Drosophila melanogaster: one gene and its partners. The protein of the gene in region 3 purifies or fractionates together with the protein of the main gene of each other region. This does not show direct contact. Each region holds a gene or a part of one and is shown on either strand. Other genes may lie near its edges.

Region 1 (6,129 bases), on a different chromosome or scaffold from region 3:
CGTGGTCGGTGCTGCCGCTTTAGCTGGCTACTAGCCAGATTAGATTAAGTGATTGCAAGCACCTGTATTTTTGGCCATTTTTTAGGTGCACTGTTATAGCTATGTTCTTCTTTTGAATCATCAATTTCATCATCTTATTTAATAAGTTTAAATCATAACTCTTTATAAATGAAAAATAGGGCATACATAAAACACTATAAATGTAATAATTGATAAATCAACTAACTAGCTATTTATTGAAAGCAAGAGTTGGCAACACTGCATTTGCTAAAGAGCGGGGGCGTTTTACAGTGTGACCGTTAGTTGGAAGTGAATATATTTACTTATCGGATATCTCGAATTGAACTTTTCGGCGCGAAAATTAGCTGAATTTTTCTTTGCAATGGTAAAATAACTTTCACCCCCTTTTTTATATTATTTGTTGAGTGTAAAATACCCGCTCTCCCCAATTTGTTTTCTAAAAACCCTACGCATGATTCTTTCAAAGAAATTCTTTGTATCAGAAATTGAATTTCGTTTATTTGGTTTTAAAATATATTTGCAAAATACAATAAACTATAGTCCCGCATACACAGGCGTATATGCGGGCTTCTCTTTGTTACACTGGTAATGCACTTGAAGTTCTTGGTTTTAGTGAATGCAGCCTGCACCCATTGAAAATACGCCCACGCGTAATACTGTTCTAAGAGCCTAGACAACAACAAACAAGCGATTATCCTCTTAAATAGCAGTTAACAGTTAAGCGGTAATTTGTAAATGATAAAAGGGTGTGGCGACTAGACCTTAAAAGCTATAATATGAGAGAAAAACAAAAAACAATTAAAACGAAAGGGGTAAAAACCGAAAGGAAACCGAGCGAAGCGTCTACAGAGGCACCTGCATGGGTGGCAGCCAGGTGTAGAAAAGAATGTATGCAGCGCTAGAAACCACGTTAGAGGAGTCCAACGCCGAGACGACCTGATCGTCGAACTTGAACCATTTTCCGTAGTTGGCGCTCTTGCAAAATGCCGTGTAGTGCCCGCCTTCCATGGTGCCGTAGTGATTGGATACGGCGTACAGCTGGTAGGTCTTAGGTGTTACCGCCCGCGATTCCGCCCGTGCTATGTAGGGATTCATGTCCAAGTTCTCGAGCGGGAAGCGCAAGTAGTTCTGCTTCTTCATGTACGAGCCAGAGTTACTGGGATCCGCATAGAAGCTATGCGGGATTTAAGAAATTATAAACAAGCATAGCATAGTGTTAGCATCACTTACCGCTTAAGATGCACCACCAGCACAGGTGGCAGCTTCGATATATCCAGCTTCTTGATGGCATCTCTTTTCGTTTTACAACTAGGACAATTCCAGCCATGGATCCTTTCTCCACTGAAGTACATGTCCATGCACTGGTTCAGCTGACATACATTCGAGTTTGGCGGCAGCTCCAGGCTGAGATTAGAAAAACTCTCGTACGTGGCGGACTCCTTGTGGCAGGCCACACATTTCACAGTGCTCTTCATTTGGCCATAGAATAAATGCAGAATCATGCTCTCCTTCGCCTTGGTAAATTCCAGCCAAGCCTTTTCCGACGCACTGATCATCTCCCGCTGACGGGGCACATGTAGGGTCTGGAGATCCGAGTGCAGCCAGTCCATCAGGATGGTGAGGAATTCGTGTGAGTCCTGCTGGTCAACGCCGCGGAAGATCTTCTGGTACTGGCCCACAACGTACTGCAATGAAGTATGTTTAGTTTAGAAAGAAATTTGGGTGTTTTTTTTTTTTCAGTTGCATACCCTCAAATCTCGGCTGGCCACACACTTGTACTGTCCATTCCAGAGCTCCTTGATGAGTGCAGCCACCTCTTCGATCACCTGGCCATTAGTCTTGTTGCTTCTGCTGATGTAATTCTTGTATTTGTCCGAAATGCAGTACTCGGTCAACTGAGGCGTGTTGCTCAGGCACTGCAGTATGCTGTTCATATAGCAGGTGTTGCCCAGATTCTTCAGTCCAGTCAGTCCACGACCCTGAAATGTTATCCAAGGATATAGTTAACTATTCGGAGATAGAGGAAAATAAAATCTATAGCTATTACTCGTCTCAGCGGAAAGATGGAGCTATAAATGCTGTAGGTGGGCGGAGCTGTTGGCAGCTGGAGCCTCACGCCCGCTACACAAATCATTCGCGGAATCCTGTATAATGCTATTCCTGCTTAACAGTATGGCAATTGTACGTTTCTTTGGTTTGAACATGCTTTGAGTGCGGACGTCGAGCGACTGAGAGTGGGGGTAGAAAGCGCACCAAGAACGGCGCACGTCTGGGCGGGTGTCTTCAAAACGTGACCCGCTGGCTATTGATTTGACTCGTGTCGCGGCTATATTTATGTGGCCAGTGAGTCAACCACCACTACCCAAGCAATACTTACCACATTCTGACCAATGACAGGCGAGAAATCACGAACGCGTTGCGATGTCCTCTCCACATTCCTCGGCTGCGGTTTCATCGCCCGATCGAATGTTGGTATTTCCGCCTTGTTTGGCGCAATTGTCGGATCCGGATCGCCAGTCAACTGGAGCAGGGATTCCAGGCTGTCTGACACGACATGTACGTCCTCCAAGTTCCTGCCCGGCGAAGGCGGGCCCGAAGGTGTTGGTGACTTGTAATGCTTTTTTGTCTCGCGAGCGATCGCCAAAAGGCGCTCCCGCTCTTGACGTTCAAGTTCATGCTGCTCGTCCAAGCGCTGTCGTTCGCGGATCTTGGATTCTATATTCCTCGTTGCCTCGACCTCCTTTTGCGACAACTGCTGCGTAACATTGTGTAGCTCTTGTATGCGACTTAGTTCTTCTCGCAGACGATTGTTTTCCACGATCTACGACACAAACGAACAATTAATCGAACCTTATAAGGTAATTTATAGATCTTACATAGTCCTGGGCCTTGCTCTCCAACTGTAGGATCCTGAAGTGCAACTCCTGGTCCTCGGTAGCATTCAAACCATCGCCCTCTGCTGCTTGACGCTTCCACATTTTTGAGGCCTTCTCCAACTGCTCATCGTTCTGCTCTGCGCGCTGCAAAAACTCGGCCTGATCACGCATGATCTCAGCAATGGGCTTAGCCGGCGGAGAAGGACGGGAAATTCCCTGTTCATTAACGCGAGTGGCCGCTGGCTTGTTGGCCCGATTGAAGTCTGGACGCGGTCTGAAGTCCTTCGCACTAATATCCTCCTTCATGGTGATGTCGTGGATTGAGGGATACTCGATATCATCGATGGTCTCAATGTCGTTGTTGTTCTGCTGCGGCGCCTGCACACTGGGATTAGTGCAATGGGTCGGGTACATCATAATGAAGTACTCATAACCGCCCTCGACAATTTGAATGGGTGCGCGATACGTCACATCCGGATCCCACTACCAGAAAATAATGATTATATGTAATCTATGGCTAAATACCACCCATACTCACGTTCTTCAGGATGTCCAGAAGGGTTGAAATGGCTGTGTTGGTCGCCGGTTGGGCATCTTTGGTGTTCCAGTCCATAAGAACCACCGAATCCTTGACGGAACGCGATGCCCACGACGCCTTGGCGCTGCTGCTAAGACGAGCCTGCAATCTGCCAGCCGACATTCTGTGTAAATCCAATAAGTTAGTATCCAAATAGCGAGATTATTATAATGGACAACTCACCCTGGCGTTATCAACTCCTCGGGCACATTAAATGCACAGTAGTACGTGAGGTGGGAGGCCTCGTAGTCGGCGCTTGGGCGACAGTCCATAACTAGGACCGATTTCTCCTGCATGCGCCGATACAGATCCTGACAGGTTATCAGCCCAAGTCGGGCGTACTGCGTTGGCTGTGTTATCGGCGAGTCCACACCCGCACGCCCATTGCTAACCAGGTCGGGAGCAATTGGTTCCGGCGCTTGGTGCTGCTGAGCATAACGATGCCGCAGAGAGTTGATAATCTCCTCCAGCGTGTCCATAATGCGGCGATTCGACTCGGTGTCGCCCAGCATCTGGCGCACCGTCGTCTTGTGGCTGGGGTAATCGGATTTTTTGTGAATTGCGGTCAGCATATTGAAGTACTTCATGTAGGTGATGTAGGCCAGTTCCTCGTCGCCATCCAGTCTGTACTCCTCGGCGGTCATGTACAGTTTGCGGGCGGTGTTCAGTAGGCTGCGAAGAATGCCAGGTAAATCAAAACAGCCGCATCAGCACCAAATCGCGGTGTCCACTTACATTTTCATGCCCTTGCTGCGCAGATCCGGAATGATGGACATCTTCTCCAGGTCATCAAGGTTGGAGCTCATATGCAGTTTCTTCAACTTGGCCATTATTCGTTTTTTGTTGTCGGGGCGGGCTACGTTGAATTTGGGAATCGGGATCTCGCCGATTTTCCTGTTCTCATAGCAGGAATTTCTCAATCTGCGGGCTGGGCTGCAACAACACAATCATTTGTTATTTTGCATGAAATTTATCGATAACAAAGAAATAGGATGGCGCTGTCAGAAGTGCAAATTTAGATTGTGCAAATTTAGCCATTTAGCTATTAATATTGAAAATCCAACTAGATATGTATTTTAGCTGTACGTGTTTTATTTCAAATAAACAAATTCAAATATAATGAATATGTAACTCAATATTATGAAGATTAAAGCTAAACTACATTTTGTAGCTATTTCTATGGATTTGGAAACAAAATTGATTCTTTTTCCTAATCTACCATTTAAATATAAAATTATATTTTAACACAAAATGAATGATATATATTTTAAAACTATAAATTCGAGCTCACACTTGCAAACTTTTTAATGTTTTTAATACCAATAAACTCCCAAAGTTGAAGGGAAAACGGCTAAAACGACAGCACTGTAGATGTCGTATCACAGCTGATACCCTTTTGTTTTTATTATTTTTAAATGGGCAGGACTTCGAAGGATAAACGAGACATATTCTACCGCCTGGCCAAGGAGCAGGGATGGCGTGCACGAAGTGCTTTCAAACTGCTCCAGGCGGATGAGACCTTTCAGTTGCTAGAAGGTGCAGATCCAACCGCGTGTTTTTCGGAGCGATTCTAATTGTCCACTTATTTCAGGTCTCACCCGAGCCGTGGACCTTTGCGCCGCTCCTGGCAGCTGGTCACAGGTGCTGGCCAAACGCTTGTACGAGCCTCTGCCGCCAGAGGAACGGGAAAAGGTAAAGATCATCGCCGTAGACCTGCAGGGAATGGCTCCGATCGAAGGAGTCAAACAACTGCGGGCGGACATCAGCAAGGAGTCGACAGCCGAGGCCATAATTGAGTTCTTTGGCGGCGAGAAGGCACAGATTGTTGTTAGCGATGGCGCTCCCGATTCTACTGGAATGCACGACTTTGACTCGTACGTTCAGGGCGAACTACTTCTCTCCGCCCTCAGCATATCCACCTTCATACTGGAAGAGGGAGGCTCCTTCGTGTCCAAGATCTACCGGGCAGACAGGACCAGTCGGTTGTACACTCAGCTCAAGCGGTTCTTTAAGAACGTATGCGTGTTCAAGCCCTCCGCCTCGCGCAACTCCAGCATTGAAGCCTTCGTGGTGGCCCGAGAGTTTTGTCTGCCCGATGGCTACAAGCCTTGCAACCTGACGACCGAATGGCACGATCAACCCGAGTCGTGGGTGGGCAGAAAGAAGGAGAGCCCGCCCGTGGTTCAAGTTCCCTTTGTTGCCTACAAGGGCGAGTTGGACTCGGATCGCACATACGATTTGGTATGTTAATACTATATCTTCGTTTGGTTTAAACCACTAAAATGTTTTGTTTTAGGGCGAGAACTATGTGTATAAAGAGCCAGTGCAGCAACCCTTGACGGCCGCCTATCAGGACATTCTGCAGAAAACGAGCCAAGTGAACATAAAATATGAAGGCATTCGCGTTATTCACGATGAGGAAATGTTGAAGAAATGGCTAGAGAATGATGAGAATAAGTCTGAGAAGTTAGGTGCCTGTGTAACGTAAATAAAAGCTTTAAAAAATGAAAAGTTATGAATATGAGTGTAAATTCTGGTGCATCTCAAAATGTATCAAAACTTTGTTGCTCGCGCCACAAGCACCGCGTTCAATTTTTATTATTCCGATACATAACAATATAAACTTAACTCTTATCCTTACGCCGAGCGGTTAAC
Region 2 (9,619 bases), on a different chromosome or scaffold from region 3:
TTGATAGAAAGGAGTTGCAAAGGAATTACAGCTCTTAAGCCGTATCGGAAATGAATAACTGCGAGGTCAGAGACAGTATCCCTGAAACCTCACCGAATTCTCTCAAAATGTGTTACTTTCAAAATCGCTAGCCAATCAACTCATGAAATTATAACCCCCTTATTTCCATAAAATGTGTAATGTTCTAGAAATAATTTATACTGCCATTTATGAAATTTTTGTCGATTTTATTATTGCAAATTTATTCAATAATTCACATTAACATTATACAGAAATATTATTTACTCTTTTTCAGAAAACTTGCAATTATCTCGTTCCAATGCGTGCATTAAAAATGCAATCATTAATTACTACCTAAGAGGTGCAACAATACTGACAAATATATAAAAATTAAAAAGAATCGCTAAATCATCAACTATCAGATACCCGTTACTGTACTTTCTTTTACATACCTTATAGTGTATAGTGTAATTGTATACTAGACACTGAAGTCATGGACAACTTAAACCGTAAATGGTATGGCCCTATAACTTTTTAAATAAGGTTAAGGCAATTAAGCCGAAAATATTTATAAAACTATTAAATCATAAAAAACCTGGTAGGAATTTTAGGCTTAAGAGTCGGCACGGATAACGGTTAAAATTTGCTTAGGCGTTACTAGAATCCACATGTAAGCCCCAAATCTGTAGCTCCTAAAGTTAACTTTTAACAGACAGACAGGACTTAAGGGTCAAACAAATCTGGTAGGACCATTGACTTTACGAGTAACGGGTATAGTAATGATATTTGGAATTTTAAAATACGTTGGCAATTTCAATGCAAATGCATTAGTTATTTATGGTTTCGTTCGCATAAGGCTCGTATGTAAAATGTTAATTATTTGATGGACACGTTGGAGGGTAGGGATTATCATGGCATGAGAATTTATATTGATATTATTTTCTAAAATAAAAATTAAAGTTTTTATAAGGATTTCGGCTACCATGTATTATTGTGGTATATACAATGCATTGTTAATTATACAATATTAAAGCTTTTCAAACATAGTCTTTTCCAAAAGTCCACTCTTTTTTCCTCTCTTATGGAGCTCCAACGTGTCAGTCAAAAATGTTCTTTCTCCATATTTCTTTGCATCCTTTTTTCAACACTAAACATACAACATTCAATCTTTCACTTTCGTTTATATTTTTTATACATTAGTCATGAGTAGGTAGGTATTGTATTTCATATTCTGTTTGGTTCGCTCGCTTGATGCGTTGGCTACGGTGGCAAATATTTAGTCGCCTAGTTGTATACACACAATAAACCAAATATTTATCAAATTGAATACAACGCATATCCAGACCAAAACGTTTTTTAGAAAATAAAAGTGACATATTTTTAATATTTCTTGCGCCAGCTTTAAAAGGTTTTATCACCTTAACCCGCTACCCATATATATATATATATATTCTATTTATTGTGCAGGCTATGAAAGGTTTCATCCACTTAAATTGCAACACATATACATATATATGCTATTTTTTAAAAGGTATTATCAAAACCATTACAACTTATCTTAAAAGTTATCTTAGCTTCTTAAAAATCACACCATTTTAACAAATAAGAACATGTAACTCACAGTACAAAAGTGATGTTGCTCATATTGCAGTTGGACCCGTTGAACACGATAATATCGCTAGACCGATAGTTTCTGCGATTTCTGCAATATCTGCTTTGATTTATTATCTTTATTGGAAACTAACTGTAAATTGTTATTTTTAATTCTTAAATAGTTTGGTAAATCATTTGATAATAATTCTACTATGACTAAAGCAAGACGACTCTTTTAAAAAATCAACGATTTGTGTTAAAAAGTTGTTGTGCTCGTTCTAAAATGTATTTGTTCAGGTGGTTCAACTGCAGAAAAGATCATTACAACTCTTCAAGTGCTCATTCGGTTTGGGGCACAAGCTTACATATATTATTTGCTTTTTAAATGCTTCACACTTGAAGTTATGCCCTAATTTTTTCTTTATAAATTTATAATACTCACACACCTCTGCTGTTCTCATTTCAATTTATGCCTTTTAATATTAATTGCTCCAACATTTTTGAATTTGTTGTATTATATTTGTATACATTTAACAAGTTTGTGATGCGCTTAATATTAATTTATTATTATTCATAATTTCTCCAATATTGTTCACTTTAAAAATAAAAGTACGAACCTATACATCAAGCTAATACTAATTTCACATTTACACGTCCTATAAAAAAATAAAATTATTAAAATGTTTTAAATTTTGACAGTATTAGCATTTCCTAAAGCAATAAAATTTAATTTCAGCTCAAGTTCGCAATTTAAAAGCCCCAATTTCAATCATTCGTATTTTTAAAGTGCTTTATAAAAGAAATCATATTTCGTCATCTCTTGTTTGGTTTACATTTGGAAATGTTCTGATCACGTTTTTAATTTGTATCTCTAAATAAGTTTTACGAATGCATTACTCGTGTAGTATTTTTCGTTGGCGAATTTCGATTCGGACATTGTTAATTAAAGTAAGAAAGAAATTGGTGTTCAACGTAAAAATTTCCCACACGAAAGGTATTTCCCAAAGGTGTTTGAAAATTGTCTATGTTAGCTATTTCCGCCTGTGAAGGTCCACTTCATGTAAGCTTTAGCCAAAGCGGTTTTATCAGCAAAGAGCTGGAGTTTTTAATCCAAATCCACCATTAGTTAATTGCTTTGTTGTCGTTTAAATTATTTGTTTTAATTTTTTGTGGAGAAAATTAAAAGTGGCTTAACTGGGTCTAAGACCACATTTCGCCATTACACTTTCAATTACAAGAGAGAACGGTATAGTTGATATACCAGAGTATCATTTTCTCGTTCCCAAACTAGTGATAGAGCTATAAAGAAATTTCAAACCTTTTAAAAAACTGTCTACGTGTGAGTAGTCATGGCAATCTTCTGTAACAAATGGCCATGACAGCGTTTATACAGACAGACGGAAATGGTCAGATCGACTTGGTTGGGTATCCTAACAAATAATAAATGTACCTTATAGGGTCGGACTCGCTTCTAGGGTTACAAAGTTTGTAATGAATCAAGAATGCCGTCTTAAATTAAATTAAATTTGTGCTAAAATTAAATTTAAAAACTATTTTAAAGCTTTTTCAAGAATAGTTTTTTTGCATGCACGACTTTAATGACAAATAACAAATCATTGTTTCAAGGTATGGGTATGGATATTTCTAATATTATTATTTTTTAGTAATAAATTTTGAAAACAAATTATTTTTGAAATATTGGAAGAATATTTATAAAACAACATCCAAACCTCAAGCCATCCTAAAACATTTCTTTTTAATTGCAGAAAAGAAATCTAGAAACATTTTTAGTAACGTACTCTACTCAAAAAACTTATTTTAAATTAGTTGCGAACAAATTATCAATGCATTGCAAAGCAATAACAATGTCCCAAAAAGAAGAGGCATAATAAAAAGATCATTAGAATTTGTAAATGAATTTTTGTTTTATGCGTTTTTATAATGGGAGAGGGCATTTAATAAAAAATATTATACAACATTTACATATCAAATTTTGTGAATTCTTTCAACTTTTACAGGTGTGGCCGAAATACTTCGCTCGTGTAGTTAACTTATGCGTGGGCATTTTGTGTAGATCTGGTGTGTTGACTGGTTTATCAATTTCACATTTTAAAATTCGTACACTTTCAGCTTAAACCCTATAGATACTACAATATATGGCCTACACATATAAAATAGCTTAAATCCAACTGTTTACCATGGCTATTGGTATAAAACTTTACATTTAGAGGTTGCCCAATTTTCTCATACTTTTTATATTATACAAATGCCGAAAATAATAGTAGTATTTTCTTCATATGAATTAATAGTTCGATCTATTCCTTTTTCATCTAGGCCTCTGTTTCAGCGCCTTTTAGACGCAGACGGGCAAAGTCCTCAAAAATTATGTCGTCATCTTGTGCCTCGTCGTCGTCCAGCTGAATGAGATTTGTTGTCGTTGGCACATCCTGCCCGCCAGTAGCCGATTCAGTTTCTCCGTCACTCATGCTCACTAACGGCAGACCCCCGCCTGCTAAACTAGCCCGTGGCGATCGCTCCCCTAACAGTGGATGCTCTTCCTCCTCGGGCTTAGGGTGCATTAGTGTGAATGGCAGCTCAGCTACGAGGTCACCATTTAGAAGTGGCGAGCTAATCAGCAACTTCACCTTCACCTTATAGTGGACCATAATACCGAGACTCTCACGCTGAGCAGGATTGGTAATGAGAGTGCTAGACGCCAAATTGGTGTCCTCATGCTTTAGCTGCCCGTCCAAAGCAAGGCCCCATTTATCCTTATTATTTGCCAATAGGGGGCACAACTCAAATACCTTCGAGAGTGTAAATCCCGGAGCCACTTGACATCCGTCTTCTGACTCGATTTCTGCCACTACAGATTTATATTGCGCCGTCGAAAAGAGACAAATATCCGCAAACTGCCGGACACATACCTTAATCTTTTTTACCGTCCGATTTGAGTTGTTGGCCACATGAACGTTGACCGATATTTTTTCGCCGTGGTGGTATAACTCCTTGTCCAAAGTAGCTTCCAAATGGATCTTGTTTGGCTTCATCATAAACTCCTTGCTTACTTCGATCGATGGCTGCTCACCGACTTTGGATGGTGCGTACATGACTTTGCGAATAGTTAGTCGCACCGAGTTCCGCTTGTGGGGTTTGTCCTCCACGTTCTCACCTATTAGTGATAAACATTATGAATAATGGCATCAATGTATGTATGTTTGTTGAAGAAAACCCATGACGCTCGGGTGTGTCAGTAGTCCGATTCGTTACAAAATTTGTCGTTGATGTTGAGTCTATCATGTATAGAATTCCACGATGTTTAATCACAAGCCGACAATTACTGGCATTTACATATGGATATATATATATATATATATATATATATATATTATTCATATATATGCATATACATTCATTTAATTGATCATCAATAGCATTGCTTTAAAAATACGCATAAATATATATAATTGGTTATCCCAAAAACATAAAAGCTAGGAACATTAGATACACAATTGAACAGACGCAAAGTAAATAAAAATGCTGACTCAATTGTCATGAGGGGAAGCAGAGAAGCACTGAGAAATCGTTTCTTCCAACTGTACAAATTCCAACATTGTTGTTTTTATTCTTAAATTGAATTTGGGCTTATATACAGAAAAAATAAATATTAAGTTCTTGTTATAAACTCTTTTACCCAACAACACGCCAATTGCTGCTATTTTATTAATCTCTGTTTATAACAGTAAACAATTTGGCTGCTGAATAATAATAAAATTCCAACAGAAACTATAAAAGCACAAAAATGTGTAAACAAAATAGGGCAATAGGTAATAATATTTATTGAACAGAGAATGTATTAAGGGGGTGCCACGGGCACATAATATATATGCGAGTGGAGCTCGGCGATCGTACGAAAATATGAAAAATTTAAAATTTACAGAAACCAAAAACCTTTCTACTAATAAAATAAAGCACAAATTCTTTAAACCTTTTTTTAATTATTAAATACAGATTAGAAACTAAACAAATAAACATTTTGAAACTATGTAAGATCTTTGCTGTTGGCACACAAATCGTCAGACCGCCAACTGCGGCGCCTGGTTAAGGCGAACAACAGCATTAACTGCGCTGCAACTTCGGTTGATTCAAATTCCAATTAGAAGTGTCGAATTTCAATTAGGTGAACGCTGCGTCATCAGCCCGACGTAGTTGGATTGATTAACCCTGTGTTCCCAACCGCGTGATGCACGCGCTAACTTACACAAAACCACACATATAAGAAATTTACAGTCTAACTTCTATAGAAAAGAACAAAGCTAGTTTTGCTACTGTAACCATATTCTTAATAAATTATTTTATTCTCAGAAACAATAGTACCCGCAATTTAACTGCTCTAAGGTAAAAGAAAAATTTGTAAAGAAAAAAGAAAAATTTGTAAATTTGTAAATTTAATGTATTGCAACATATATAATAAACACGGTATGTGCCACACTGCGAAATATCAATGATTTTGACTTTGACTGACCACCGTATACGGACACACCCACAAGATCAGACCCACAAAGACTCACCCACAAAGGCCTTCAGCTCGTAGTCTACTCCGCAAGACTTGCCCACATCTCCAGGAGCCGGCTGCAAGGACACAGAGGCTGGGCAATAGGGCGGAACCTCAAAATAAAACGGATGGGCGTTCGGCCCCAGCTTTTTAATTAACCTTTCCTGAAGCCGGGTCATCGGGCGGTCCAGCTGCATGGGCGGATAGATCTGCTCATGCGCCAGATACAGGTCCTTACGGAACGTTAATCCCAAAACATCTAGGTCTTCACGTCCGTACCGAAAGGCGGCAAGCACCTGGCCAAAAACCTTACGGTCCTTTACGTACTCTGGATCAATGAAGACAACACCGTCAATGGGATCCACGTGCGTGACATGGTCGACGAAGTCCCGTTTGCCAAGGTAAACTGTTATCTTGCCGTTGGAGGAGCTCTTCTTAAACACCCGAGTCGCCTGGCGTCTGGAGCTGGCATCTCCACCAGTCTCGTCGCCTGCGCTTCCGCCCCCAGTGCTCCCGGCAGCTGTTACATTGGTGCTGGAGCCATTGCTCACATTTGCTCCTCCACTTCCTCCACCACCACCGTTCATTATGTTATTTGGCGGTTATGCTTGTTATTCTGCTTTTCTGCTGTTCCTGCTTAATTGGAACTCCGTTAAATAAATATATGTGTGCGTTGCGGGACTTGTGCTGCAATTTAATTTTTTATGTGTATACTTGTTCCGCCATTTACCAGCACTGCTTGACAGTCATTGGAAAAATACCAGGGAATATTACATACTAACAAATTATGTACTTCTCTGGTATTTCAATTCAGTGCGAACAAACCGATATATGTTTGGTCGTACCATAATCGCAGCCTATAATTAATATTTATTTTGCATTTTTGGCACCTATTTATATTTCCTAAGTGTGCCCTGGCCCATAGTAAGTGACTTTTAATAATTTTTCTTTCAATACCATTAACAATTGCTTGAATTAACATTAAGTTTCCTACTAAGATAAAATGCAACTGCAGGTTGACTTGGCTTTTTAATGAAATATAATATATATATTATAAATTCCTTTAGAAACAGATGATTCATAGCTGATGATTGAGGAAACTTACCATTTGGAATGTATAAACACATGTAAAATCAGACCGTTGGTAAATATCTAATCATAGATTGTATCCTAAGTCTTAAATAAATACTTTATATAAACTGTTTAATATTTATTTTATTTTTTAAAGGCTTTTATTATTTTTATATGTATACATGTGCATGAACGGACTTTAAACCATATTTAGTAGTGGAATAGAGCTATAAAAATGAGATTGAAGTCTCTAAAATACTTTATTTAATCAGCCTTAGCACCGATAGAGCACAACGGTCACACTGTTCTGTCCCTCTTTTCCACGTGCATTTTATTGAACGAAACCACGCGTTGTTCAGTCCAAACTTGACTTTGCTAATTTTGCCCAGAAAACCTCTAAAAGCTGTCAAAATGGCCCAAAAGAAAGCCGTCACCGTCAAAGGAAAAAAAGCTACGAATGGAGAGGAAAAGCCTTTGGCCAAACGGGTAACCAAGTCCACAAAGGTACAGGAAGAGGAGACAGTAGTCCCCCAATCGCCTTCCAAAAAATCCAGAAAACAGCCTGTTAAAGAAGTGCCGCAGTTCAGTGAAGAGGACGAGTCTGATGTGGAGGAGCAAAATGACGAGCAGCCAGGGGACGACAGCGACTTTGAGGTAAGCTATAAAAAAAACGTGGTCTTCTGAATGGATATGGCTAACATTACATGCATAGTATGCACGTATATATAGATCTGCATGGATAAGAATCCATTTTACGTTTTCTTTGCCACGTGGTTGTAAAGATTTTATAATTATAAGACGAGTGCACATAACCCACGATCCTCTGGTTTTATACCGACTCGGTTCATATATCGATAAAAAAAAAATTGTCTTTATTGGTGCTCTCCCATCAGCGGTTATAAGAAAATTGTCTACTTTTCAGACCGAAGAGGCAGCGGGCTTAATTGACGACGAGGCTGAGGAAGATGAAGAGTACAATAGTGACGATGAGGAAGATGATGATGACGATGAGTTGGAGCCTGGTGAGGTTTCCAAAAGTGAAGGCGCGGATGAGGTAGATGAATCCGATGATGATGAAGAAGCGCCTGTAGAGAAGCCAGTTTCCAAGAAATCAGAAAAAGCCAACTCTGAAAAGTCCGAAGAAAATAGAGGAATTCCAAAAGTAAAGGTTGGCAAGATTCCGCTGGGAACGCCAAAAAACCAGATCGTTTTTGTCACAAACCTACCAAACGGTAAAGTAACTGGTTTATTATTTCATTTTTCAAGTATATTTAAACTTAGTATATTTGTTCCACATAGAGTATCTCCACAAGGACTTGGTCGCATTGTTCGCCAAGTTCGGACGACTTTCCGCTTTGCAGCGTTTCACTAATTTGAATGGCAATAAATCAGTTCTCATTGCCTTTGATACGTCAACTGGAGCAGAAGCTGTTCTGCAGGCTAAGCCTAAAGCGTTAACCCTTGGAGACAATGTTTTGTCTGTGTCCCAACCGAGAAATAAGGAAGAGAACAACGAACGCACGGTGGTGGTTGGCCTGATTGGACCTAATATTACCAAGGACGACTTAAAAACCTTTTTTGAGAAGGTAGCTCCCGTGGAGGCGGTGACTATATCCAGTAACCGCCTCATGCCCAGAGCTTTTGTACGTTTGGCGTCGGTCGATGACATACCGAAGGCTCTTAAACTGCATAGCACTGAGCTGTTTTCTCGCTTTATAACGGTTCGTCGGATCTCACAAGAATCGATTTCACGTACCAGTGAACTTACCTTGGTTGTCGAAAATGTGGGCAAACACGAGTCTTACAGCTCCGACGCTCTAGAAAAGATATTCAAAAAATTTGGTGATGTTGAAGAAATCGACGTTGTGTGCAGCAAGGCAGTTTTAGCTTTTGTCACGTTCAAGCAGTCGGATGCCGCCACGAAGGCTTTAGCACAACTCGACGGAAAGACTGTTAATAAGTTTGAGTGGAAGCTTCACCGATTCGAACGCAGCACCTCGGGGAGGGCCATTCTTGTGACGAACTTGACTTCAGGTGGGTTACCCGTTTCGTAAAATTGTTTAAAATTATTAATCATTATCATGTAAAATTTCGTTGTAGATGCTACTGAAGCCGACCTGCGGAAAGTGTTTAACGATAGCGGCGAAATCGAAAGCATCATAATGTTGGGCCAAAAAGCGGTAGTAAAGTTCAAGGACGATGAGGGTTTCTGCAAATCTTTCTTGGCTAATGAAAGCATTGTAAACAACGCCCCTATATTTATTGAGCCAAACTCTCTGCTGAAGCATAGATTGTTAAAGAAACGCTTAGCTATTGGTCAGACCCGCGCCCCGCGGAAGTTCCAAAAGGACACTAAGCCAAACTTTGGTAAAAAACCATTTAACAAGCGCCCGGCACAAG
Region 3 (8,647 bases):
AAATAAACTAAACAGAGTTCGGCTCCTCCTCCGTTGGGAGGAGCAAGAGGAGATTGAAGTGGCGCTCGCTGCGCCATGGTTCCAGCCAAAAATCGTCCAAATGAAATCTCAGCCATGTACATTGGCAAGCTTGGCGATGAGGTGGTTAAACTTGCCGTTGGTGGTCACAGACTTTTTGGCCGATCGCACTTGTTCCGGCGAGTGCTGCAGAAAGTAAACGACGATAAATTCGAGTGTTTGATTGGCTTCCTTAGGGTACATCATGTTAAAGGTATAGTAGTAGCAGATTAACTGGGCCAGAATGTCCGGCAGGTCTTCGTCTTTGGCGGCGAATGTGGCCATTATCTGGCCTTCAATGTAGACCTTCGCCTCCATTTGCGATTCCACGCCGTCGGCCGTTGTTATGGGTGAATCTGTGGGAAGATAAATATTTTAAAAGTATTTAAACACTTTTAGTGATATTAATTTTTGTGTACTTACTGACTAGAGCCACCCAGGGGGCGTTTGTGGGATTCGTGCTTTGCAGTGATTCCTTGCTAAGGGAACTGTTCTCGAGGTGCTTGAAAATGTAGTCGGGATCCTCATTAAAATAGTACGCTATGCCACGCAGGAAATTAGCGTTGGTCTCGTCCAAAGAGCTGATCTTCTTGTTCTTTGAACTCTTAAAGAACCTGAAAAAGCGATCCTTTTCGGTAGCCAAGCGCTTCTCTAGAGCCCGGGGATCGATGGACATAAGCAGCTCAAAGTGCTGGTACAGCACAGCCTTGTCAAAAATATATGGCCAATTGTCCTTAATGGCCGTTATATCTGGGATCTTTTCGCTGTTATTAAAAAAGGAGCGCTGCAACGGAAAGCACTCTTTCATATATTCGATTATGACGGACTGTTCCAGTGGGGAACTGCCTCGGTAGCTGGAGATTAGTAACTCCTTTTTGTGCTCCAGATCCCTGTTAAGAGCCAGCGATTTTGCATCACCATTGGAAGCACCACCTCCGAATTTTCGTTTTTTATTAGGGATGTGGATCTCAAAGGTTCCCGAGCTGCCGCGTTTCTGGGGTTTGTTTAGGGCATTGTTACGGTTGATCATCTTGGATATGAGCGATTGCGGAGTGGTGGCTATAAACTGTCCCTCGCGGTCTTTTTCGAGTAAGGAGTCGGGGTACTTTTCAGCCGCCTGTTGGGCGACCTGCCGGAAAATCCGTATGGGAATGTGGGCGGATATTTCACGGAGAGCCTCCACCAAAACATTCGCAAGTGTATTCAACCGCTTGCCCAAACTCCCCTTTCCCTTTAGTAGTTTCATTATGTCCCCAGGCACCTTGCTCCAGGGTATCGAGAACTCCTTGAATAGAGCAGAACTCTTTGCACTTGATGGCGTTACGCTGGACAGTGACATGGTTTCGTCATTAGAGACCGTCGAATCGTTCGGGTTCGACACAATACTGTTGTTGGCATAGAAGCTGGGATCCACCGAGCTGCCGGCGCGTTCGGATCGGTTGAGGGGCGATGGCGGAGGAAGCACCACATACTCCTCCGACTCGGCGAGGAGCATCAACAGAATCTTCTCCTTGGCAGCGAACAAGAGCACGTCGTCCTCGCAGATCTCGCAGCCGTTGCTCTCCAGGACAATTGTGTTGCCGCACAGGCCGTATTTGTGAGCTACCGAATACAAATATATTATTGATATAAATTAAATAAAATATGTACAATTATTTAATTTCTATCCTAGATAAATATATCACCCATTGATCAAATTTATATTTTTAAATGCAGAAATGCTCTAAGCTTAAACCCAATAGATTCTTATTAAAGACTGTCTACTGGTTAATAACTTCCAACTGGGCAACGTTCATTCGGAATACTGGATGAATAGATACCCAATTCGTCGGACGTTCCTTACCTTTGTCGATTACATCCTTTCGAGTGGGCAACGACATGAAGGTCTTCTTGATCTTGCGATCGGCGCTGCATATGGTAATCAATACTTTGTCAGCCAGCTCGGTCTTCGGCTTGCCCTCGTCGTCGTCCTTCTGGCTAGCATCAGTGGAATGTGTCGGCTCTACGGCTAAAAGGTAAACGTTAACCAGGAAACTAGACTAGCTTCGAGCAAGTTTGCTAACCGGGGGCTTTCTCACCGCAGCTCTCTGGCTTTTTCGCTCCTCCTGTTTGTACACCATTTTCGATTGTTGTTGCCTTTGCGAGTGCGACCGGCGCTTGGTTTGCATTTTGATTCGGACTGATCGGCGCCTGCTGGGTGCTATGATCGCCGCCGGAACTGGCGGGCGGTGCGGGGGCAACGTCCATGGCTTCTATTTGCGTTTGCGCGACTCCAACCAAGCCCTGTTATCCGTGTTTTTGGACCGTGCCGTGAAATAATATTGCAGAATAGGGATGTAAAAACTACATCGATGCTTGGTGCGCTACTATCGCGGTGTTATCGATACTCCGCACCCAGTGTGACCGTCGAGCGCATGGCATAAATAAATAAGCCAGCGGCCAGCATTGCCATATAGTCAAAATGTTGCGGGGAACACCTTTTTCGTTTGCTGATGCATTTCTACATATGATCATATTTCTTATTTTATGTTGATGTTATCTTATGTTACGATCGAACAAAATAAATCCGATTTGTTTGCATATCATTCGACTTGTTGCAGCTATGACCGATAATAACCGATGCCGACCGATAACATGCAAATCTCGCTGACCGATAACATGGGTATATTTAAACTGGCCCTGAATGGTCGCACATTTGTTGCTTCAGCTTCACGTTGAGTCGCGTTTATTTTTGTTTTCCTCCTTGGTTCTTGTTTTTTTTTTCTCTTTTTTAAAAACACTGCAATCCTTCAAAGGGAACAATTAAACCAGGATATCCCGAGTCCAACGAAAGCGCCTTCACGATGCACTGACGAACCGCTGAGCAAGAAACGGGCATTCAGCCCATTAAAATTCACACAAGGCAGCTATTTAATGATTTTTATAAGCGGATGCAGTACTTAAACTTTCCGCGCATGCCAAACATTATGTGAGTGACTCGCCTCTGGCAAATGGTGTGGGCAATTAAAATAACTTGGTTATTTACAAACCGCAGGATGTTCCTGGAGGTTGCGATCTTATGCCTGTGGGTGGTCGCAGACGCATCGGCCAGTTCGGCCAAGTTCGGCAGCACAACGCCCGCAAGTGCGCAGCAGTCGGATGTGGAACTGGAGCCCATCAATGGGACTCTCAATTACCGACTGTACGCCAAGAAGGGCAGGGACGACAAACCCTGGTTTGATGGCCTAGACAGCAGGCACATCCAGTGTGTCCGACGTGCCCGTTGCTACCCCACCTCGAACGCAACCAACACCTGTTTCGGCTCAAAATTGCCCTATGAGCTGAGCAGCCTAGATCTCACCGACTTCCACACCGAAAAGGAGCTGAACGATAAGCTGAACGACTACTATGCCCTGAAGCACGTGCCCAAATGTTGGGCAGCTATACAGGTGAGGAATCTTAATAACATCTAATGTACCTAATGATTTCAAAAGGTGGGGCCGAGTCTGTATGAAAATACAGATTGTCGCATTATTTTCTGATAAGGAGGTGCATTAGAAACAAGTTAAGCGCACAACTGTGATTACTTAATTACGCTTTGTGTTCAAGCAGTGAAAGTAATATGTGAATTGCTTTATCTTGGGAAGATTCAGATATATATACATATTCAGTTGTGGCTCAAGGTTTTCTGTAGATATTATAGTATTTCAAATCCATTTCTTCAATATTCCGGATTAGCTCAACACACCCATTTTTACATGTTTATAGCCCTTTTTGTGCGCCGTCTTTAAGCCGAAGTGTGAAAAAATCAACGGCGAGGACATGGTCTACCTGCCATCTTACGAGATGTGCCGAATTACCATGGAACCCTGTCGCATTTTGTACAACACGACGTTTTTCCCAAAATTCCTTCGCTGCAACGAAACACTCTTTCCGACGAAATGCACAAACGGAGCACGAGGAATGAAATTCAACGGAACTGGCCAGTGTTTAAGTCCTTTGGTTCCGACAGATACGTCAGCCAGCTATTATCCTGGCATCGAGGGCTGCGGCGTGCGATGCAAGGATCCACTCTATACCGATGATGAGCATCGGCAGATCCACAAACTGATCGGATGGGCTGGCAGCATATGTCTTCTGTCTAACCTTTTCGTGGTGTCCACCTTCTTCATCGACTGGAAGAATGCCAACAAGTATCCGGCAGTAATTGTGTTCTACATAAATCTTTGCTTTCTAATTGCTTGCGTCGGGTAAGTTTTGAGCACTATTTTGCATTTGTATTCTTAATCAACCACGTATTTACTATGCAGCTGGTTGCTTCAGTTTACTTCTGGCTCGCGAGAGGACATAGTATGTCGTAAGGATGGAACACTTCGCCACTCAGAGCCTACAGCCGGTGAAAATCTTTCTTGCATAGTGATCTTTGTGCTGGTCTATTATTTTCTCACCGCTGGAATGGTTTGGTTTGTGTTCCTCACCTACGCCTGGCATTGGAGGGCCATGGGCCACGTCCAAGATCGGATAGATAAGAAAGGTTCCTACTTTCACCTCGTGGCGTGGTCACTACCCCTTGTGCTTACCATTACCACGATGGCTTTCAGTGAGGTGGATGGAAATAGTATTGTGGGCATCTGCTTCGTAGGCTATATCAATCATTCTATGAGGGCAGGACTACTTCTTGGTCCGCTCTGCGGGGTCATCCTCATTGGTGGATACTTCATCACCCGCGGCATGGTGATGCTTTTTGGACTGAAACACTTCGCTAATGACATTAAATCAACTTCGGCGAGCAACAAAATCCATTTGATCATCATGCGCATGGGAGTCTGTGCTCTGCTCACTTTAGTTTTCATACTAGTGGCCATTGCGTGCCACGTTACGGAGTTTAGGCATGCAGACGAATGGGCCCAGAGCTTCAGACAGTTTATAATGTAAGTGTAAATACTCGTTTATAACTTTTTCCATACGCCTCAACTAGATAATTCTTTTGTTTAGCTGCAAAATTTCTTCAGTTTTTGAAGAAAAGAGTTCCTGTCGAATTGAAAACCGACCTAGTGTTGGCGTTCTTCAATTGCATTTGCTGTGTCTATTTAGCTCTGGAATCGTAATGTCCACCTGGTGCTGGACACCTTCTTCAATTGAGACTTGGAAGCGTTATATAAGGAAGTATGTTTTACCATCCTACCAAAAGTTGCATTAAAGTTATCTGTACTATCGATTTTATAACCTTTGCAGAAAGTGTGGCAAAGAGGTGGTCGAAGAAGTGAAAATGCCGAAGCACAAGGTCATTGCCCAGACATGGGCCAAGCGCAAGGATTTCGAGGACAAGGGCAGGCTCTCCATAACGCTCTACAACACCCACACAGATCCCGTGGGGCTCAACTTCGATGTGAACGATCTGAACTCTTCTGAGACGAATGACATCTCATCAACTTGGGCTGCATACCTCCCGCAGTGCGTAAAACGTCGCATGGCTTTGACGGGAGCAGCGACAGGTAACTCGTCAAGCCATGGACCGCGAAAAAATTCATTGGATTCCGAGATAAGTGTGAGTGTTCGACATGTTTCCGTTGAATCCCGCAGAAATTCGGTGGACTCGCAGGTATCAGTGAAAATAGCTGAAATGAAGACCAAAGTGGCGTCCAGATCAAGGGGAAAACACGGAGGCTCTTCCAGCAACAGAAGAACCCAAAGGAGAAGGGATTATATAGCAGCTGCCACTGGAAAAAGCAGTAGGAGAAGGGAAAGCAGTACTTCAGTGGAGTCGCAGGTCATCGCGCTCAAGAAAACGACCTATCCCAATGCTAGTCACAAAGTGGGCGTGTTTGCTCATCACAGCTCCAAGAAACAACACAATTACACCAGCTCCATGAAGCGAAGGACTGCTAATGCCGGATTGGATCCCTCTATTCTTAATGAATTCCTGCAGAAAAATGGCGATTTTATATTCCCATTCCTCCAAAATCAAGATATGAGCTCTAGTTCGGAGGAGGATAATTCCAGAGCATCCCAAAAGATTCAGGATCTTAACGTGGTTGTAAAGCAGCAGGAAATAAGTGAGGATGATCACGACGGAATAAAGATTGAAGAACTGCCAAATAGCAAACAGGTGGCATTGGAGAACTTTCTTAAAAACATAAAAAAATCTAATGAATCCAATTCTAACCGACATTCCCGAAATTCCGCAAGAAGTCAGTCAAAAAAGTCCCAAAAGAGACATCTCAAGAACCCTGCTGCTGATCTAGATTTCAGGAAGGACTGTGTAAAGTATCGGTCTAATGACTCACTTAGCTGCTCCTCTGAAGAGCTGGATGTGGCTTTGGACGTAGGAAGCCTTCTTAACAGCTCTTTTTCTGGAATATCCATGGGCAAACCACATAGTAGAAACAGCAAAACCAGCTGCGATGTGGGCATACAGGCTAATCCTTTCGAGCTAGTTCCCAGTTACGGAGAAGACGAACTGCAGCAGGCCATGCGACTCCTAAACGCAGCCAGCAGACAAAGAACTGAAGCAGCCAATGAGGATTTCGGAGGAACGGAGCTGCAGGGCTTGTTGGGTCATTCCCATCGGCATCAAAGGGAGCCCACGTTTATGAGCGAGTCGGACAAACTCAAAATGTTATTGCTGCCTTCAAAATAGCAAGACTAAATAAGCAATTGATGCATTTACTTAAGGTTCAAAAACTCTTACAATATTGTAGTTTTTGTTCTAAGAAATCAAATTGTTAGCGCTGAAAATAATCGTACAATCTTATCTATTTTACGAAATCGTAATATTGTTATGTTCACTGTTCAACGATTTATAAGAATATATCGCTTCACTAGAATTGGAAACCCAAATGATATTTAAAACAAACAAATACGAAATTGTAGTACACAAGCCAGAGCAGTTTACATGCGATGAACATTTAGATTCTTCTTAATCGATTACTGGAACAGACTGAGCGAAACTAGAACTACGAATTACGAATACTCATAGTCATTAGGCTGCAACTTTATTTTACAGATTCATCACCCCATCTAGCTTGTAAGCATTCGAATCTCTGTGTACGTTTGTGAATGACTGTTTCCTTAATCCTGGTACTCACGCCAAAGTAAATGCCAAAGAGGATAATAATTTATTTTCATTATTTTTCTTTGCCGTGGGTACAGGACTTTAGATTGTAGATTATAGATTTAAGTACGATATAAATAAGCCTCTTGGGCACACAAATCGTACCTCAGAAAGTGCCTTCAAGTTTACAAAATTATACATAATAATTTGTGTAACTAATAAACGATTTTAAATCCTCGAGTCCTAGCCTTGCTTTAATTTCTGTTGATTTAGGAGCTTAAACTCCGGACCCCAAACGACGTTGTTGGCGAACTCCCCGAGCAGATAGCAAACCAGGTTGAACCCCACAAGTAGTGCCAAGAACACGTAGCGCAGGTATGCGGGCAGCACTTCCAGAATGGGATACACCCACTCGCCACTGAAGTAGCGAACAATGTGCAGCCAGATGATGTAAAGCAGGATGAAGGAGACGTTGCCCGTGATGCCTGCCAATCGACTCGGATAGCGGCGGAAGCAGGTAAACAGGTCCATAATGGCCAAAAGGGCCACATTCGTGTGTACCACGTGATTCAACCAGCTGCAAATATTGAGAAACACAGGTAAATCAAAACTCGCCTCGCCTGATGAACAGAAAGTTTAGACAGGCTCGAAACAAAAGAGACTCCAGCAGACTAACATTGTGCATTGTACGCAAGTTAAACCGGCGGAAAAACATAAACACTTGCCTGGGGAAAATCGCATCCAGCGCTGAGGGAAAGATGAGCTCACGGTCCCACACGTAGATGACCCAAAACGAGAGGCAGACATTGTGGGCGACAGGAAAGGCAAAGGCGGCGAACACATAGTCCCTCACCGATCGCAACATGGATTTTGAATCCCCGGAGACATTGTTATCGCCGAAGAGATCGTTCAGCAGAGCCAATGAGTGGTAGATGGCCTGTAGAATGACGTCCAAGAAGGTAAGGTACTTGAACTTGCCGCCCCACCGCGCCTTCAGTTCATCCTCGTCTAGCAAATCCGTGGGCCAATGCACCCGGAAGTAGTGAAAGTATATCCCATACGAAAACTGCGCTGCCGCCAGGAGATGGACCAGGAATCTCAGGTATTTGAAGGCACCGCTCGTATAGGCATCGTTGCAAGTGTTCAACTGGGCTTTAGTGGCCTCGACAGCTTCCTTGGCGGCGTTGAACTCGCGCACCTGCTTCTTGCTCTTGCCCATTTCCTCCAGAAAAGGTGCAAAGGGCACCGCACGCTGAGCAAAACAAAACAAATAAAGCTAGCCAACAGCTGATTAGGGCGCAACACACGTCGAGTTTCATTCCAGCAAGGAGGCGTTTTTAAGCTAGAACTAGCTTTTTAAAGCCAAATCGATATGATAGCGCCACTTGACGTTTCTCTGATCTTGAAAAGCAGTTTATTCCAAGCTTCCCACCTTAAAACAGTTTTCGCAGCTGATGAAGAGTTTAATCGCTTTATTATGGTACTAGAATTGAATAACAGTGGTATTCAAAGATGGCGTTGAATCAGTGTGCTTGATATGAGAAGTTTAATCGAGAA
Region 4 (6,518 bases), on a different chromosome or scaffold from region 3:
TGCTGTTGCAGTGTCTCTGTGGGACTATTACCCACGGATTTACTGGCGGAGCCGGCGGCACAGGATGTGGCAGCTGCTCCATGTCCCAAACGATGTTTTTTAGACAGGCGGTTCCACTTCTTCAGCTTGCCCTTGTCCTCGTAGACAATCTCGTGACAGGGGAGATCGAATCTACATATATAAGGGAATCGTTAGTAATGTGGTGAGCAGCCATATACCAAGGTGATCCATCTTACTCATCCGTATTGAGCTCCAATTCAAACGATAGGTGCATGCGCACCAAGGATTTGTATTTTTCGTAATTGCAGCGGCGCATGCGCGTGGCCAGATCGCGATCCCTGAAGTCATTTAGGTTCGCATGGTCCGTATCCATCGTTGCTTCCATGCAATCTGTGTGGTTTATCCGTCGGGACTATCGAGTAAACACTGTATATATCCACGAACAACGACAACAACAACAATAATAACGACTGCCAACGGATAAGGAAAATAACAACAACTTGGAAGGACAATGACAAGTTCGTTTCGTTAACCCGAAGGCTACTTCTTTCACTTCTGTCCGTAATGGGTTCGTTTTGAGGAGTGTATTATTGTCGAAGGTTTGATGCGCGAGCATATAACTTCGCATTTATCACATTTATCGCAAATTTTAACAGCTAAAATTGAAAATTGAACGAGACGCTACCTAACCAGTGTGACCGCGGCTAGAGCGCCAAATTAAGACCTCTTTGGGAGAAAATCGTACGCGCTGATCTGGTAGCACAATTACGTACTACGTTTTTATCTTTTTTTGACAAAATTGTTCCATTCTTTATATATCTATTTCTAAATTCAACAGTGGTAAGAAAGAAGTTGTCCTCCGAGAACACCTGTTCTGATGATTCTACATTCAAAGAAGGAAAATACATCAGAGCGTTGCCAGAGTCCAGCTGTCTCTCCTAGTTATTGCCACCCTTGCCAGACTTTCAAAAGGGGGACGAAAAAATGGTACTCAACACTGCATTTTTGCAAGTTTTGTTGTTTGATCGCGCTTTTTACAATTAATTTAACAAGCTGTATTAAAATGGTTCTTATTATGCGTGTTTCCCCGCCGGAACATGGTCTGTTGTATACGGCAAACAATATCAAGCTGAAACTAGGCGACAAAGTGGTGGGCGAAGGCACAGTTTACATTGCCCAAAAGTGAGCGCTTTAGAGCTTTGCCGGTGTCTGGTATTGCTCTCTATTTATTAAAATCTTTTAAAGTAACTGTTATTTCTTGTTCCTAGCACGCTATCCTGGCAGCCAACTGAATTGGCGGAGGGTATATCCATTGAGTGGAAGCAGGTTAGCCTGCACGGTATCTCTTCGAATCCGAGAAAGTGCATCTACTTCATGCTGGACCACAAAGTCGAGTGGAACGGCGTCTACGGAGATCCTCCCCAGCAGGCAGTCAATGGTCGGAATGGCGGTGGTTCGGAAGCGGAAGTGGACGAGGGAAATGGCAGCGATGAGCACGATGAGGACGACAATTTCGAGGATGCCGTAGACGAGCAATTTGGAGAGGTCACAGAGTGCTGGCTTATGCCGGAGGACATTCACACCGTAGACACTATGTACAGTGCCATGACGACTTGCCAGGCCCTACATCCTGATTCGGCAAACAGTGATTCGGAAGACAGCGATCCTATGCAGGATGCCGGTGGCTTAGAGGATGAGGCTATGGAGGAGGATGATGCATTGACGCTTGGGCGCAACGGCGTGCAGAATCTCAGTTTGGACGACGACGAAGAGCGATTCGAGGACGCTGATGAGTGAAGCATAACCTATTTAAACATCAATACCACGTTTTATACCAGATAAAATGTACGATATATATGTATTGGATTAGATTTTGGAGTAATAAATAGAACGCGGTAAGCGCGATTAAAACAAAACTACGTGCTTTCCTTGACGTTTTCCTTATTACGAGCGATTTCTTTCTCTAAATCCTCTTCGCTAATGGGCTGCGAGAGCTAAATAAATAAAATGTGGTATTTATTAGGTGTACTTCGAGAATATATAGTGGTATATACATACAGCTTGAGCAACATCCGGCAGAGGAAGGGCCTGTCGGTAGGGATCGCCATTGGACGGCACTTTGTCGTAGTTCCAGTAAGTAAAATCTTGAAATACTCCAGTTAGCCGCAACTTTCGGTCGGAGGTATCGCTGATGGGCTTCTCTGTTTCTTGCAGAACTAATCCGCAGTATCCTTCGGGCACTTTCAACTTCTCTCCCATTAAAGGAAATCCGCGCAAGGCGTTCGTCAGGATTCCTGTGCCGAATTCGGTTGCTTCACGTGTGTAGTTGTTGAAGTAATTTTTTACATTCGCTTCCCCATCGCCGTCTATTTTGGCCGGCAAGTAGTGCACGTCTAAATTCTTACCCTTGGCAAAGTTCTTACCATTAAAATCTAGAGTAATTGACATTGTTACTTTTTGCGCAAAATAAAAGGTAAACAAAAACTCCGCCAAAATGTGTTTGTTTGTTTGCGCTTAAGAAGGATGGTTTGAGTAGCAGCTAAACTCATCGATTTACAACCGATAGCCAATAGTAGTTTAATTCGATAGTAACAATATAACAAAAACATACAATTATATTGTAAATCAAAGCTTGTAGATGGTAACGAGATCACTGTTTACCATCACTGAACAAGTTTTCATGCTGTTTTAAATTTAGTATCTGACTACATACGTATTATATATATATATTTGACAATATGCGATGTTTTCCAAGAATATTAGCACTAAAAAATCGATAGTATAAGAGAGTAATCGATTTTTCACTCAGCACTAGACTTTGTGCCACCACTAATAAAAATGGCGTTCGAAGTTGTAGTTAAATTTTTATGGGAATCCGTAAAACAATAGCGCGTGAGGCCGCGGCAGCATAATTCGCGCACTATCAAGCGTTCCGTGGACGAGCAACTGTGTGGGCGTGCGTTGTTCGCAGAGTTTTCGTCCGATTTTTAGTGAACTAGAACAATACAAGTGTGCCTCCTTTGATTATTATTGCAAATTTTAGTACCACACACACTCGCGCACACATCGATAGCGAAGGAAATACTAGTGCGAGTAAATAGTGTGGCACCCATACTGGAGCAGCGACTAAATTAAAGTTAATTAAACACACAGTGGTATTTCATTTAATGCAATTTGTGAAATAATAGAGTGGCAGAGGGAGAGAGACAGATCGAACCCCGCTCCCGCTCTCCCCTGCAGCATGCGTGAACTGCGTCCGTGTGTGTGTGCGTGAGAGAGTGAGCGAGACATGTGCGTGTGAGGTGCAGCAGCAACAACAACAACACCAGCAAAACAATTTCGGGTGAGTTTTTCGTGAATATTTTGCCTACCTGAACGATTTCCTACCTACGCCCTCGCTTTTGGGTTGGGTTTTTGCACTTGGGGGGAAAATACACACATTATCTCTAACGAACTTACTAATAATACCCATTTCCATTTGTTATCTTTGGATTGCAGCCTATAAAAAAAGCAAATCGGTGTTATTATTTATATACAAATATATCTATGTGCGTGTGCCATGACACACAGCAACAAACGCAAAAACTACAACAATTGCAACCGTCAAGGCTACCGCCACAGCAGCAGCAGCAACAATAACAACTGCAGTTACCTTCGGCAATGAAATTACCTCTCACCGCCCTCACCTGCTCCTCCTACACCTCCTTTGCTTCCTCTCCTCCACCTTCTACTTGCACTTCTTCTTCTTCGCTCTCCGTTCGGCGCTTTAACGACAACAACAACTACAACAACATGCCCGCGACATATAAATAATCAATACACAAAGTAAATCCATTTATTTTTATACAAATCAAACAATATCAATTAAAAGTCGAAAATTATGAATAAATTGGATTACCCACGTCGCAATGGTACACACAAAGTTCGAATAACGAGTAAGTCTGCTGATAAAAACAATTGTTAATAAAACCCACTAATATATCGCTTTACTTGCAGTATTGTGTGCTAGAAACTTGGCCCGCAAGGATTTATTTCGTAAGTATTTTAATATTAATTGGATATATCTTAGCATCTAATTTCCTTAGTGCCTATCACCTATCCGTCAAATAGGACGGTCTAAATTAGTTCCTAAAGCAGAACTTCCGGTCATCAAAAGCATAAAAGTTTTACCCTGTACTTCTTAATCGTTAGTGTTATAAAATATTAAATGTAACAGCAAAAAATTCCTTAAAACTATTTACCCAGCATGCCTTTGGCGTAATCACTTATTTTCGTAATTTGCTCACATGTTTGGGCTAATTTCTTGACTCACTTTTGGTTAGTTACGGGAAATTTGGAGCAGTTGGCATTCGCCAGACCCAGCAAGCTTTGTTTTCACGTTTGGTTTTCTTTTCGAAAACCATCAATTACGCACCTGTTTAGCCGTCCAATCGAAACACACATTGTGGTAAATTAAAGTTTTGTTTTATTTGCGGCGCTTGTGGTGCTGCTGTTTCCTCTTCTTCACATTCATCTATGCATATAAGGTATCGCTAAATTTAGCACTTCCTTTCTTGTCTACTTTCATTTTTATACAAATTGCGGAAAAGCCCCCTCCCCCCATCGCGCCCATCAAGTCGAGTGGGTGAGTGCGAGTGGTGCGCCATATCTGAGCTCTTTTCCCATATTTTGTTAGATATAACAAAAGTGATTATTACTAATTTGCTTTCATTGCGGCTCACTCACTCGCTCGTCCACAAATACAATCGCAATATTTTTTCTTTCTGTGTATTTGTGATTTACTATTCGCTTTTTCCACTTCTTGTCCATTTTTGTACACTTGGTTGCACTTAAATCACGCGCCACGCATTGTTCAATGTGCTACTAAAAAAAAAAAAAAAACATTCGATGTTCCTTATCCGTGAGATTCCAATAGGGGGATATTTGGGTTTCCGAAAATGGGTCTGTGGCCGCTGGTGTCACTTCAAATGAATTGTTTATTAATGCTAATGCTTGAATTCCGTGGTTGACTACAGAATATGGCGCATTCATTTGCTATTTTCCCTCTACTACCATATACATTGTACACTAGTAGTTGGTTCTTCATATTTTATCGATTCTTTGTGATAAGATTTTAGTTGAACCCAGCGGGGCTTACGGTCATTATAGGGAAAATCCATAATGGGACTTTCCGATATTCGTTATTGTGAGTAATGTAAACTTTTTTAACATATCAAGTTCGAAAAATGTGGAAGTAGTATGCTTTGAATTTTCCTTTGATTCAACACACTTGCCAAAGAGTTCAGTTAATCAGATAAAGAATATAGACGAAAGCATGATATCGTTTCTGTTAAAACGCCGAGCTTGTGATGCTTACAAGATTTCATTAGGACTAACTCGTGCATATAGAGCCTTAACAGAAGTAAAAAGCCTTCAAAATGCCTTACGACCTGGTAATAAAACTGGAAATATCAAGCTGGTAAACATATACCGAACTTCTAGCATACAAAATGTGAAGAAGAACCAACTAAGTGACGCTGAAAGCGTTATTCCACTCTTATTGCGGCCAGCCAAACCTGTGCTGATTATGAGAGAAGGATCTCAAACCGATTGTAACGACGATTTGCTGTCCTCTGAGCAAAGAGCCAAAAAAAGGGAAAGCATAAAAAAATCCGAAGTAGATTGCCCAAAATTTCCAGCTGAGAAACTTCCGCCCACAACGAAATTTCCTATTAATGAAAATGCCAAGAAGGTTTTAGATCCAGCCGACCAAAGAGAACTCGAGGCCAATTTGTTAAAAAGGCTTAAAGATATGGCTAAAAGAAAGAAATCTCGACTAGATGAGAAAGTTGACGAGCTGAGGGATAATTTTATAGGCTGGAATTATGCTGCTCTACAAGGAAGAACTATTGTGACTGTGGATGCCAAGGAATCAACTCCACCGAAAGGATCTGGGCCGGCCACCCCGGCAGGCTCTCCTCCACCTAAAAATGTTTCTGCACCGCCGACGGGCGGTTCTCCGCCTGCCAAAAGCGGCGCTCCACCACCCCCAAAGGGGCCACCGCCCGGAACTCCACCACCGCAGACGAAAACTACTTTTGGACCACTTGCTGATGCTGATCGAATCTTTACCAATTTATACGGACGGCACGATTGGCGATTGAAGGCAGCAATGAAGCGCGGTGACTGGTACAAGACGAAGGAGATCATAGCCAAGGGTGACAAGTGGATAGTCAACGAGATTAAGACATCTGGACTGCGAGGACGCGGTGGCGCCGGATTTCCCAGTGGACTTAAGTGGTCATTTATGCATAAACCGCCTGATGGAAGACCCAAGTTTCTGGTGGTCAATGCGGATGAAGGAGAGCCCGGTACTTGCAAGGATCGTGAGATAATGCGCCATGATCCACACAAACTGGTAGAGGGATGTCTCATTGCTGGACGGGCTATGGGTGCCAACACTGGTTTTATTTACATTCGCGGAGAGTTTTACAACGAAGCTTGCAATCTTCAGTATGCCATTATTGAGGCCTATAAGG

The links.
Region 1: the proteins of smo (region 3) and Usp8 purify together in Drosophila melanogaster (affinity purification with western blotting, with the first as the bait; 4 studies listed by BioGRID). This does not show direct contact.
Region 2: the proteins of smo (region 3) and krz purify together in Drosophila melanogaster (affinity purification with western blotting, with the first as the bait; 4 studies listed by BioGRID). This does not show direct contact.
Region 4: the proteins of smo (region 3) and Smurf purify together in Drosophila melanogaster (affinity purification with western blotting; 2 studies listed by BioGRID). This does not show direct contact.

Annotation. Positions count from the first base shown.
Region 1 is NT_033777.3:21,132,586-21,138,714, reverse strand, and holds Usp8 (ubiquitin specific protease 8), read right to left. Parts: upstream 4,454-6,129; 5' UTR 4,305-4,453; coding exon 4,210-4,304; intron 4,147-4,209; coding exon 3,658-4,146; intron 3,599-3,657; coding exon 3,436-3,598; intron 3,381-3,435; coding exon 2,898-3,380; intron 2,843-2,897; coding exon 2,399-2,842; intron 2,234-2,398; exon of another isoform or gene 2,156-2,233; coding exon of another isoform or gene 2,069-2,155; intron 2,001-2,068; coding exon 1,770-2,000; intron 1,707-1,769; coding exon 1,252-1,706; intron 1,196-1,251; coding exon 865-1,195; 3' UTR 501-864; downstream 1-500. Other genes in the region: Trm7-34 (tRNA methyltransferase 7-34), read left to right, coding at 4,890-5,010, 5,066-5,715, 5,771-5,962.
Region 2 is NT_033777.3:32,045,105-32,054,723, forward strand, and holds krz (kurtz), read right to left. Parts: upstream 6,890-9,619; 5' UTR 6,736-6,889; coding exon 6,165-6,735; intron 4,766-6,164; coding exon 3,924-4,765; 3' UTR 210-3,923; downstream 1-209. Other genes in the region: mod (modulo), read left to right, coding at 7,631-7,873, 8,142-8,451, 8,519-9,253, 9,320-9,619.
Region 3 is NT_033779.5:274,839-283,485, forward strand, and holds smo (smoothened), read left to right. Parts: upstream 1-2,743; 5' UTR 2,744-2,987; coding exon 2,988-3,025; exon of another isoform or gene 3,026-3,091; coding exon 3,092-3,485; intron 3,486-3,804; coding exon 3,805-4,286; intron 4,287-4,346; coding exon 4,347-4,967; intron 4,968-5,031; coding exon 5,032-5,202; intron 5,203-5,271; coding exon 5,272-6,676; 3' UTR 6,677-7,329; downstream 7,330-8,647. Other genes in the region: CG17078 (uncharacterized protein), read right to left, coding at 109-413, 481-1,659, 1,901-2,065, 2,121-2,304; CG11601 (uncharacterized protein), read right to left, coding at 7,334-7,667, 7,816-8,309. UniProt on the Drosophila melanogaster protein: Segment polarity protein required for correct patterning of every segment. G protein-coupled receptor which associates with the patched protein (ptc) to transduce the hedgehog (hh) signal through the activation of an inhibitory G-protein.
Region 4 is NT_033778.4:17,589,970-17,596,487, forward strand, and holds the start of Smurf (SMAD specific E3 ubiquitin protein ligase), read left to right. Parts: upstream 1-2,821; 5' UTR 2,822-3,343; intron 3,344-3,498; 5' UTR 3,499-3,880; coding exon 3,881-3,935; intron 3,936-3,996; coding exon 3,997-4,035; intron 4,036-5,297; exon of another isoform or gene 5,298-5,314; coding exon of another isoform or gene 5,315-6,518. Other genes in the region: RhoGAP54D (Rho GTPase activating protein at 54D), read right to left, coding at 1-171, 237-385; icln, read left to right, coding at 1,064-1,182, 1,269-1,797; CG30105 (uncharacterized protein), read right to left, coding at 1,917-1,994, 2,059-2,448; ND-51L1 (NADH dehydrogenase (ubiquinone) 51 kDa subunit-like 1), read left to right, coding at 5,315-6,518. UniProt on the Drosophila melanogaster protein: E3 ubiquitin-protein ligase which accepts ubiquitin from an E2 ubiquitin-conjugating enzyme in the form of a thioester and then directly transfers the ubiquitin to targeted substrates.